2 linked regions of the Drosophila melanogaster genome follow. The protein of the gene in region 1 purifies or fractionates together with the protein of each later gene. This does not show direct contact. Each region holds a gene or a part of one and is shown on either strand. Other genes may lie near its edges. The genes, in order: grau and eEF1alpha1.

What was found.
Region 2: the proteins of grau (region 1) and eEF1alpha1 purify together in Drosophila melanogaster (affinity purification with western blotting; one study listed by BioGRID). This does not show direct contact.

Annotation. Positions count from the first base shown.
Region 1 is NT_033778.4:21,009,187-21,014,371, reverse strand, and holds grau (grauzone), read left to right. Parts: upstream 1-2,450; 5' UTR 2,451-2,526; coding exon 2,527-2,649; intron 2,650-2,726; coding exon 2,727-3,493; intron 3,494-3,555; coding exon 3,556-3,765; intron 3,766-3,827; coding exon 3,828-4,203; intron 4,204-4,266; coding exon 4,267-4,503; 3' UTR 4,504-4,608; downstream 4,609-5,185. Other genes in the region: CG9346 (uncharacterized protein), read right to left, coding at 1-162, 217-459, 527-859, 927-970, 1,033-1,214, 1,275-1,693, 1,751-2,037, 2,094-2,210 and 1 more; CG30291 (uncharacterized protein), read left to right, coding at 4,874-4,879, 4,942-5,116, 5,168-5,185.
Region 2 is NT_033778.4:11,889,280-11,896,505, forward strand, and holds eEF1alpha1 (eukaryotic translation elongation factor 1 alpha 1), read left to right. Parts: upstream 1-1,855; 5' UTR 1,856-1,965; intron 1,966-2,116; exon of another isoform or gene 2,117-2,186; intron 2,187-2,842; exon of another isoform or gene 2,843-2,905; intron 2,906-3,843; exon of another isoform or gene 3,844-3,916; intron 3,917-4,262; exon of another isoform or gene 4,263-4,275; 5' UTR 4,276-4,295; coding exon 4,296-5,687; 3' UTR 5,688-6,241; downstream 6,242-7,226. Other genes in the region: ERp60 (endoplasmic reticulum p60), read right to left, coding at 1-110, 1,392-1,540; MCPH1 (microcephalin), read right to left, coding at 6,846-7,226. UniProt on the Drosophila melanogaster protein: This protein promotes the GTP-dependent binding of aminoacyl-tRNA to the A-site of ribosomes during protein biosynthesis.

The sequences.
Region 1 (5,185 bases):
GTCAGCTGGGCCATAAAATCCTTGGGATAAATGGTCCATTCCTCCCATGTGCGGATAACATTGCAGACTCTGGATTTAAAGCCCTCAGCTTTCAATCTACTCTCGATGTTCAAGTAGTAGTTATGCAGGTTATCAAAGATGTCCAACAATTGTTTTTCCACACTAAATAATAGGGGATATTTCAATGTGTATGCTTTGATAAACATATATACATACGATTTACGGAAGAACGAAGCATTCGCAACTTTAACAGTGCAGTTGTGCAGTATATCTGAGATCAGATAAAGTCGAGCAATCTTCTTTGAAGCCAATGTATTGATATTTGACAGAGACTCGGCGATGCACTCGCAGATTTCATCAGCCGCATCTGCGTGCTCAATGCAGAAGATCATGGCATCTCCAATGCGGGCGCGTTCAGGAGTTAAGTGCCTAATCAAATCCTCGAGTCGGTTGCGTTGCCTATTTCAGTATACATTTACAGTACAGTAAACATTTATGTTTCGAGGATTATCTATGCTAAACGTACGCATTGGACAAGGCTCCTTTGTGCACCACAGGAGCATCGGGATCAACAACCAGCTCATCTGGCATGCCTTGAGTGTAGAAGTTGGCAATCGGGGGCTTCCAAACCGGTCCGTTTTTAAACATACGGAATTCCTCCTCCCGCCATTCATTGGGCGTATCGCCCTGTAGCAAAGAGAACAGCTTCCATCGGTAGTAGATGTGGGCAGGACTCTCGTTGTCGAAGAGGAACGCAAAGAGCGGATTCTCCATTTCCCGAATCATGATCAAAGCCTCAAACATCGGTCCCTCGCGTATTACAAACTCGATCATCCGATGGATAACATTAAGAACAGCCCTGGAAAAAAAGAAAAGCACAGTAACGTGAGTTCTTGTTAAGTGAATGTCCTTGGTGCAATTCATACTTCTCTGTGGGTATATGGACTTTAACGACGCATTTGGCAAGTATCTACAAAATTGAACATTTTCATTTTTATTTCTTTAGACGCTAGCAGGTGATTATTCACTTACCCGCTCCATATTCTCTTTGTCCTCTTGGTTGAACTCCTTGTAGTTTTTCTTGGGCAGCACATCAGCTTCACTGGGTGGAGGTTGGGCATTGAAGGGCAATCCTGAAGGAGGCGGAGGCAGGGTCATCTCAAGCAATGCTTGCGGTGTAAAAATGGGCGTATTCATTATGGGCACAGTCTTTCCTGAAATATTAAGTAAGATGTATGAGGAATAAGAACTTCAATATAAGATCTATAGATTACCCCATCCTAGACGCATCTCGTAGCCCATGATGTAGCGCCCGTTCAGTGTCTTTAGGGCCCTTTCCGCATCCTTGCGGCTCATGTAGGCCACAAAGCCGCAATTGCGTCCCCTTTGCTTCTCCTCTTCGGAGCGGGGCCACATGATCTTGATACTGGCCAAGGGACCGTATCGCCCAAAGATTTCCATAAGCTGCTGCTCGGATATCTTGGGGTTCAGGTTGCCCAGGTACAGGTTTGTGGTATTTGGATCGCCCGTGTCAAACGAACCAGACTCCTTTGAGCTGCTTGAGTTCTGGGAGGTGGTGGAGACACTGCTGCTGGGCACAGGAGCAGCTGATGCAGCCGGTTGCTGTGCTGGTGCGGAATGGCTTGAGGCCATGTGCTTGTACTTGTGGCGCTCCTCACGCTCCTCTTGAATCCTGTGGGCATGAAACAATTAGTATGGAATACACACATGCACAACCAAGTGGGCCTACTGTCTCAATTCCTCCTTGAACAGCTCCAAGTTGCTCTTTTTCTTCTCCTGGTTTTTCTTCTTCAATGGACCCGAGTCCTTTTTGAGATCCGAGGCCAGGGTCTTGGCGTAATCCTCGACCTTGTCCGAGGAGCTCTTTTCCATCAGCTTGGAGACCGGCTTGTATAGCTTGCCCTTCTCCGACTTGTCCTCCCGCCGGGATCCTGCATCATAGGTGCCGGCTTTGACCCAAACTTTCGAGGAGGGGGTGGGTGCATCTTGGAAAGTCTCTACGAACTCTTTGAAGGCCTAAAAATCGTATTGGATTATAATGCGTGGAGGAGGGATTTGCTAGAGGCGCCTACATGTGCCGCAGCAGCTGCATCCTCCTTTTTTTTCTGGTCCTCGAGCTCTTTTTTGGACAATTGTCGTTTGGAGAAGGTGCCCACCGTGAAGGCCTCCAACTTCTTTTCGCTTATCCGCTGAAAACAAGACCGAAAAATGTTAGGCTCGTTTTTCCGGCTACACAGGACACCTTTACTTTTAAAGTGGCGGATGCGGCAGCCGAATCCTTGCTTTTATTCCCTTGTTTACTCATCTTTTCCACACAATATGCACATTATCAGCAAATACGAAAATAGGAAAACCAACAATTTGCCAGTGTGACCGACGTCGTACAACCAGTGCACAGAATGAACAGCGAACAAATCACGATGCAGCCGATAGTTGCGATGGGAGTTATCGACAGAGCTATGTAAATGACTACTTTTTATTATAGTTTTATCAAATAAATGCGAAATGGATATCTGCCGCCTCTGTTTACGCGGAGTGAGCGGCGCCCAGATGTGTCTACAGATCTTCGATGTGGACTCGGGCGAGAGCAAGGTGGCGGAGGTGCTGCGCCAACATTTCTGGTTCGAGGTAAGCTGCTGCCCTCCACCCACTTTTGTGCCTGGGAATCTTTTTTTACCACCATCTCGTCTCCGGAACGCGTACAGGTACTGCCCAACGACGAGATATCCAAGGTTATTTGCAACGTCTGCTGGACGCAGGTGTCCGAGTTCCATCAGTTCTACGTGTCCATACAGGAGGCCCAGGTGATATACGCCACCACCTCCAAGTTCAAGCAGGATCCGGAGATGGTGAACACCTCCTGGCCGGAGGAGGTGCTCATGCCGGCCGACGTCCTTGCCGTCGACAACGATGTCGGTGCGCAGATAAATGTGAATCCCCTGGACGAGTTAGACCTTAGCCAACCCATGTCCCCGGAAGACAGCAAGGTGGGCATCAAAACAGAGCGACAGTCACCCGACATGGAACTCCTCTTTGAGGATGCCAACAATGAACAGGATGAGGACTACGAGGACGACGAGGATGATGACACCGACGACCTGATCGTGACCCGGAGTGGACGCAAACGTAAACGGGACGTGGCCAAGCCGGCTAAAACGAAAAGAGGAACGGTGTCGGTGGGCAGAAAGGGGAAGGAGAAGATGGTGGTCAAGCGGGGACCGCCCAAGAGGATATTCAAGATGGAACGCCTGCCGCCGTTTTGCAAAGAGGACGAGGAACTGATCAAGCGCTACATAGTCATGGGCTGCGAGCTGTGCATATTCTTGGCCGAGGACTTCGACGGCATCCGCGAGCACTTCAAGGACAAGCATCCGGACGAGCGGCCCTACATCAAGTGCTGCGGACGCAAGCTCAACAAGCGCTGCCTCATCCAGGAGCATGCGAGGAGGCATGAGAATCCCGAGTACATCAAGTGGGTCTCTCTTACCCAAACCAATTCGAAGCGATTTGATAATTAGCTTTCCTTTCCGACAGATGCAAGGACTGCGGAAAGGTGTTCGCCAATTCCAGCGTATTGCGTGCCCACTGGCTGGTCCACCATGTTCCAGACGAGGAGTGCGACTTCCAGTGCGAGGACTGCGGCAAACGCTTCTCGCGACGCAACCTGCTCGAACTGCACAAGGGCTCCCATGTGCCCGTAAATGAGCGCAAGTTCATCTGCCCGCAGTGCCCCAAACACAATGCGTGAGCCTCGCCAGCTAAACGGCAGTGTTTCCAATGCTTATCGTTCTCCTTTCACACCACAGTTTTGCCACGGAGTACCACATGCAGGTCCATATCAGCATGCAGCACCGCAAGGCGGCCAATATCTGCCATGTGTGCGGCAAGAAGATCAAGGACAAGGCTGTCTTCGAAAAGCACGTTCGCCTGCACTTCGAGGAGAGCGGACCACGGATCAAGTGCCCGCGTCCTGACTGCGAGAGCTGGCTGAAGGACGAGGACAATCTTAAGCAGCATTTGAGGCGCCACAACGACGAGGGCAAGCTGTTTATCTGCTCAGAGTGTGGCAAGAGCTGCAAGAACTCCCGCGCGCTGATTGGTCATAAGCGCTACTCCCACTCGAATGTGATCTACACCTGCGAGCAGTGTGGCAAAACCTTCAAGAAGGACATCAGCCTTAAGGTTGGATAATACATATTACCCTTATTTATTTATGTGTTGTATTAAAGCGATTGATGTTTGCAGGAGCATATGGCGCAGCACACTGGCGAGCCACTCTACAAGTGTCCCTTCTGTCCCCGCACCTTCAACTCCAACGCCAACATGCACTCCCACAAGAAGAAAATGCATCCGGTGGAGTGGGACATCTGGCGAAAGACGAAGACCGGTAGCTCACAGAAGGTCCTGCCCAGCGCCCAAGTGGCGCAAATGTTCCGGGACGATGCCGATGTCGCAGCTATTGCCAATGACTATTCGGGTTAGGCCCGGAAATGCTTAAGGAAATCGATTTGCGGAAACCATTGCTTAGTTTTTGATTGACCTTTGTTTGAAAACAAAATATATGTATAATAGGAATTATTTGAAAGTACGAGCGGTTTGTTGTCATATTGGTGGGATTTTTGGCTATTTACATTTTAATTAAGTTTTTTGAATTTAAATGTTTCATTTAGCTACATTCAGAAATATTGTTTTTGAATTTAAAAAATTTACAGTGTGAATGTCTTGAATTTTTCAATTGGAAAAAAAAGGTATGATGGTTGAAGTATCCGCTTTGTTTATTACAGTAGACTGGTCACACTGCCAGCTGCTAAAATAATAGAAAACAGTCTGCGTGGACAAACATTTAATTAAAATGAATGTAAGCACTTTATTAACGAAATCTTTGGGAATATTTCGCTCATCAGCATTTTATTTGAGCAGGAGTCCGAGATCCCCATCGACATACACACGCTGAAGCTGCAGGACTGGCTGATCAGCCGCAGAATTGTGCCCAAGAATGTGCAGCAGGAGCTTAGGGAGATCCACAGGAAGATTAGCAACGCCCTGCAGGACATGCCCTCCAATGAGCAGCTGATCAAGCTGTTGGCCCGGACAAGTAGGTGCCCAGTGCCCAGAATGCCATCCCACTAATGTGTCCCACTTGCAGATATCAACTACTACCATG
Region 2 (7,226 bases), 9.1 Mb from region 1:
TTCCAGCTTCCGTACAGTCAACCTTGGCCAGTTTGATTGGCGGATCATCGTCTTTCACGATCTCCGCCGCCTTGGCGTACTCGGGCTTCAATCGCTTGCAGTGGCCGCACCTTAAACAGGAAAAAACACTCTGTTAGGACACGTCACTTAAACATTATGTTGGTAACAATACTATCTAATTCATCATTTGTTATCAAGGCAACGGGAAGACAAGTTCCCAAAAAACTAGCTTGTAATTAAAGTAAGGGTGCTGGAATTATCAACTGTCTTATCACACAAGTACAAGTGCCCATTAGGCATACAGAGAGAAAAACGACTTGGTACTTATTTGAAACAGCAGAGTATAGTCTGCACTCTTAGCAGTGCAGATAATAATTCATTTTTGATAAAGATAAGTGATGCCTTAAGTTAACTATGTTATAATGAAAAGAGCAGTTTTATTGCAGTGTACAACTTTTTCAACTTCATCCCTGTGTATTTATGCTTGAATACTGATAAGGTTCGTCATGAGGGAATCAAGTCTCCATGCCAAGTAGTTCAACAGCTCTTTGGGGATTTCGAAAGCCGGCCGGCAAAAAAAACGCTAATAATTTACCTAGTTCATTGTCCAAGTGTGAGCTTATAGTTTACCCCTGATAATGGGCAAACAAATGGCTCAAAAGAGAGTAAATAGGCACAGTAAATATGTGTTATGTACTAAACAAAAATGTATTAAAAGGTTATTGTGTTCAGTGTGGATTACGATGGAAGTTAAAAATGTGTCTACTGACATGAGAAATTTATAGCACAATCAGCATAACTTTTGTGAGTAGGCAGGCAATTAAAATTGAAGTTTTAATATGGTTGGTGTAAACTGTTGGGAAATTACATTTGTATGAGAACTGTGAGTGTTTCAGACTATGATAACCAGTTTCAAGCTAAATCTAAGTTAACCCTTAGAATTACACATTCCTGGGATTATGGGTATAATGCATAGGCATAAGAAACTATAATAAAAGATGCGCTATGTACACTGGGGCCCCTATGCCTGCTCACTATCATTAGCCAGTGGACAAGTGGAGCAGGAATTGCACGGAAATTGTACCAACTAGGCACTTTGGCACCCCGCGCTCTAAAATGGCCGACGGCACCAATACTGGCATATCATCATTGCCCCTCTCTTTGCGTCTCGTTTCGTTCCGTCACTCGTTCCTTCTTTATTTGCCGGCAAAAGCAAGGCAAACGCTGACGTGTACTTTGCGCTTGCGATGGCCGGAAAATCGGGCATCGGTCGGCACTGGGCATTGGGAATCGAATTAAGTTGCGGACGCAACAAGCGGATTATACGCGAATCGCACACGCAATGCATTTGTTGTAGGATGGCGCCCGGCCACGCCCACTCACTAACTCACCAGGGGGCGTAGAACATGACCAGCGTCGTCTCGTGTTGTTTTAGGGTGGTGGCAAAGTCGTCGTCCCCCAGTTCCAGGACATCCTGCTCCGCTCCGGACGAGATGGCGATGAAGCCTAGTAGGAGCACTCCAGCAAGGCGCCACATCATTATTTGGGTTCACTTGAAGCGATATCGGTGAATAATTCAAGTTCAACTAGGCCGTCGAACGCCTACTTCTACAACAAAAACTGAGTACCGGACCGGTTCGGTATTTTTCAACGATTGAATTCGCTTTTTGCCTCTTTCGCCACGTCGCTTCTTATTCTGTTTCGTCGTAGTGTGGCCAGGTGGGGCTAGGCCGAAAATGTCTAAAGTTGGAAAAAGCTCTCAGTTGTGAGCTTTCCTGCATATGTAAACAATAAATAAAGATGGCTCATCATTTATTAATGACTAATGTCTATATGTGTGGGTTTTAAATGCTTTAGCTATAATTCTTTCCAGTCACACAGAAAAGTTGAGATCTAGATTTAAATTAATTTAATTGATACCGATTTATAATAAAATTTTGTCAAATTATCATTTCATAAAAGATGGTAATTGCATTTATTGTTAACTGATTTCGCAAGCATAACAATAATCATATTATTAATAACTAATTAATTAATTTCACAAAATTAGGAAAACACTTAGGAACTTTTAATTGCGTCCTATATAAGGGGCAGGCTAACAACTTTTGTTCTATGCACAATGAATAAATTTATTGAGTACAAGTGAAAACTGAGTGAAAAAATAGTCTAACAAAAAATATTAAGCAGTAAGTTACAAATTCAAATAAATATTAGCATTCTGATGAATTCCAGAAGAAAAAGTATTAAAACGTGAGATCTTAAGTTATAAATTTTTACAATATTGTATAAATTGATACAATACCAAATTACTTATAGTTTTATTTGTAGCATATTTTAGTTGTAGCAACGGACGCCAAAAAATGTATAAATAAATGAAACGTATTACATAAATTTAAACGATCTCAAGCTTCTATTGTTATTTAAAGTTCTATTACGTTAGGGTTCACATACAAATTAAAGTTCAGGTTCTAGTCTAAAAGTTCAAAATGCGGACTACTAATGCAATTGTTATAGTTTTTAAATATTAAGAGATATGTGTTCCAATATTACGTATAGAAATTATAGACATCGTTTTGTAGAAAATATTTTTGGAATCACTGATTATTTAGTTTTTCATATAAAAACAATGTCGAGCAAACAAGGTTTTTTAAATCCCTCAATCGTTAGGTTATTGTATTTTGCCACTTTCAATCACTTAAATTTCAATAAAATGAAGTGCTTCATTCGCGCGTAGTGGAAACACCGCAGTGAGAACACGGTTTCTGCTCTTTTGACAGTTGCGTAGCTTCGGTCACACCATGTGTCAAACGAGGCTTCCTGTGCTGAGCTCTGCCGAACGCTCGTTCACTTTGTTCGAATCCGTCGCCGCTTAGACTTCGTGATTTCTCATTCAGCTTATTCGAGAGTAAGTTTTACCTGCGAGGCTATAATTAAGTAATTTCTGCAACGGGACTGCAGCCAGAAAACAATTTATAAACAAATATGCAGCTGAGACGCCGAATTTGTGCATATTTCCAGTGTTTTTCCTGTGTGTGTGTAATAAACCCGGAGATAACCTCTAACTGCGGTTTTCCAAAGTGAAAGGTGGCCATAGAAGCAAACACGTGGCAAGTCTGCAAAGGCAAAAATTTTAACTGGCGTTCCCAGTTAAAGTTCCCAGCATTCTCAAAATAATTTTCCGGCTTTTCCGGCCGCATTTTCGCCCTGCAATATGGTGCACTTAGTGTGTAATTACTTTGCCACGCCCACGCCGGACACAGAGGTCATCCACCAGATGTGCTCATTAACCGAGAAAAAAAAACGTGCTTTCTCTCTTGCCTTTGTCATGACCTATAGATATTCCTTATTCTTTCTTTTTGCGGCATGGAATTCTAAAATGGCGACCCAGTGGCGTGAGTCAAGTGGGCGAAAAAAATTCGCCTGGCAACAAGCGAAAAAATGTGCTTTTTTGGGTTTCCAGCCCATTAGCATATCTGGTGAAATGGCACTCGCATCAGCTATTTCGCCATTTCCAACCGACTCCATAATTGGTTTTGGTAAAATGGCTGCCGCTGCACTACGTTCTTGAATAATTCGTTGTGTGCCCCTCTCTTTTTCATTTCTTTCCAATTACCAATTGTGCCACCGCGGCGAGATCGCTTGCATTTGTACAAGTCACACACGCACACTAATGCACATCCGCCATTTTGGTCTCTCTCTCTCTCTATTCCTCTCTTACTTTTCCTCCGGCCGGCAACAGCGTCACACAAATACACAGGCATAGATATACACACGCATAGGCAGATAAGCACATGTGTATTTGCGAATTAAATTTGCTGGAATTTTCCTTTGGACTCTTCGATTTAACATGATGATGATTTTTCAGTTCTGCTACTGAAGACAGTTGACGAAAGCAAAAATACCAAAATCACTGAAACAAAATCGAGTTTCCATATGGAATTTTATTTGCACGCTCTTTTCTGTAGTTGCGCCCCACTCGTTTTACCCACACCCTTACATGCGGGCACTGGACCTAACCTCAAAAAACACGTTTTGTACGGCTGCAAGAGTTTGAGGTTAGGTTGTGCTCGCGCATGCAAACAAAAGTCGAACGTACGCTAGGGAAATGAGAAAGTGTTATACCCACTAATAATTGTAGTTGTAATCCCACCGAATGCTAACGAATTGTTTTACCCTTTGTTTATTCCAACCTCTCTTGCTCGCCAACCCGCCGAACCCTGCAACCTTCCAATGTTCCAACGTTCCGTCAATCCAACACTCGAATACACACAACAGCCATAGTGTAATCATCCAACATGGGCAAGGAAAAGATTCACATTAACATTGTCGTGATCGGACACGTCGATTCCGGTAAGTCGACCACCACCGGACACTTGATCTACAAGTGCGGTGGTATCGACAAGCGTACCATCGAGAAGTTCGAGAAGGAGGCCCAGGAGATGGGAAAGGGATCCTTCAAGTACGCCTGGGTTTTGGATAAGTTGAAGGCTGAGCGCGAGCGTGGTATCACCATCGATATCGCCCTGTGGAAGTTCGAAACTGCCAAGTACTACGTGACCATCATTGATGCCCCCGGACACAGGGATTTCATCAAGAACATGATCACTGGTACCTCGCAGGCCGATTGCGCCGTGCTGATTGTCGCCGCCGGAACCGGAGAATTCGAGGCAGGTATCTCGAAGAACGGCCAGACCCGCGAGCACGCCCTGCTCGCCTTCACCCTGGGTGTGAAGCAGCTGATCGTTGGTGTGAACAAGATGGACTCCTCCGAGCCACCATACAGCGAGGCCCGTTATGAGGAAATCAAGAAGGAAGTGTCCTCTTACATCAAGAAGATCGGCTACAACCCAGCCGCCGTTGCCTTCGTGCCCATTTCCGGATGGCACGGCGACAACATGTTGGAACCCTCTACCAACATGCCCTGGTTCAAGGGATGGAAGGTGGAGCGCAAGGAGGGTAACGCTGACGGCAAGACCCTGATCGATGCCCTCGATGCCATCCTTCCCCCAGCCCGTCCCACCGACAAGGCCCTGCGTCTGCCCCTGCAGGATGTGTACAAAATTGGCGGTATTGGAACAGTACCCGTGGGTCGTGTGGAGACTGGTGTGCTGAAGCCCGGTACCGTTGTGGTCTTCGCCCCTGCTAACATCACCACTGAGGTCAAGTCCGTGGAGATGCACCACGAGGCCCTGCAGGAGGCCGTTCCCGGAGACAACGTTGGCTTCAACGTCAAGAACGTGTCCGTGAAGGAGCTGCGTCGTGGCTACGTTGCCGGTGACTCCAAGGCTAACCCCCCCAAGGGAGCCGCCGACTTCACCGCCCAGGTCATCGTGCTGAACCACCCCGGTCAGATTGCCAACGGCTACACCCCCGTGTTGGATTGCCACACCGCTCACATTGCTTGCAAGTTCGCTGAGATCAAGGAGAAGGTCGACCGTCGTTCCGGCAAGACCACCGAGGAGAACCCCAAGTTCATCAAGTCTGGCGATGCTGCCATCGTCAACCTGGTGCCCTCTAAGCCCCTGTGCGTGGAGGCCTTCCAGGAGTTCCCCCCTCTGGGTCGCTTCGCTGTGCGTGACATGAGGCAGACCGTGGCTGTCGGTGTCATTAAGGCTGTCAACTTCAAGGATGCCTCCGGTGGCAAGGTCACCAAGGCCGCCGAGAAGGCCACCAAGGGCAAGAAGTAGCTGGTTTGCTTCCACTCAACAACAACAACAACACGCAGTAGTAGCAGCAACAACAAGCATATAACCAACATCATAATGCAGCCAACAACACCACTCAATAATACCAGCAACAGCAGCAGCGAACACAATAGTAGTATAACACCAACACCTGTCCTGCGCAAGATGACCGATAAGATGATGTTTCAGCAGAAGCATAAGTTTAATTTCTTCCATCGAAAGGAGTTTCGACGGATACGAATGCTAAATGCAGACGAGGCCGCCTAAATTGGGAAACGGTGGATCCCAAGGATAAGAGTGCACACTGGGAAAACACTTGCATTTATGCATCCACTCCTCATCCACTTCCCCGTCGATCTTTAGTTTACTAAATATGGTATGATGCACGGAGTTGACTTCGTTTTATCATATCATATATAGGAATCCTCTGTAGCATTTATGATATCGTTTAAATTAACCTTTATACTTTGATATGTATCATTTATCTTACCCTACTTTTGCACACACTACTTTGTACACAAGAAAAGAACCAGAATAGAAGCGATAACTATATTTACAAAAAAAATAAAAACCCTATTTTTGTATTTCTTTTGTTTTTACCACCCAGCCCGTAAAAGAGCACTCTCTTTGCTTGTTGCCTCCCGATTTTCAGCGCCATGATCGATCGTCCCTAACTCCAAGTTCACTTATCGTCGATGCCACAAAGTACAAACAAGAGCTAGTCGAAGAGTACAACAATTGAATCTGACAACAAATACCTCAATCGTTTAAATAAAGCAAGCAATTGCATCTGAAGAATAATGAATATTTTTTATTGTATTTGAGGGGGGGGGGGGGGCTTTTATTTCTCATCGCAAATAGAGAAAAATGCATTGATTTATTTATTTAAATAATAACGAACGAAGTTGGAACAAGTGTTTTTTTATAATTTCTGTTTAAAGTTATGGGATATATTATTTCCTTCGTAAAATCTGTATAAAAACAAATTAAAAAATGTACTAGAAAATAAACTAAGATCGTAAAATACATATATGGATTTAAATATAACTATATTTACATTGGAGTAATTTGCACAAAAAGGTGAAACAGTGTGGGAAAATGGTACTCTGTGTGTCCTAGCTTAAATATTTAGTAAAGTGAAGTGGATGCACCCACTGATCTCTATTTGTCCAGCACAAACGGTGGATCGACGAAGTCGTGAAGGTGCCTTCTTTGTGTTTTGTCCTCATCGCGATCCCTAGGATCCTCGTACCGGATCCCATCGGCCGAGATAATGGCGCTCTTCATAAGATATTTGCCAAAGCGCTGAATTTGCATATTCGTGATGCTGTCCAGCACCCAGTAAGGATCGAGATAGACGCGATCGTCCTCGGCGCGCCGCTTGTCCCCGATGATGTACTTGGCCTTGAAGCGGTTCTCGGTCAGGGTGGCACCGCCCAGCAGGAGCAGCTCCTTCATATTGTTGAACTGCACCGGTCGGCAGAGGGAGGACACATAGAAGGGCTCCATAAAGCGAAACAACTCACACTGGTAGTGGACGCC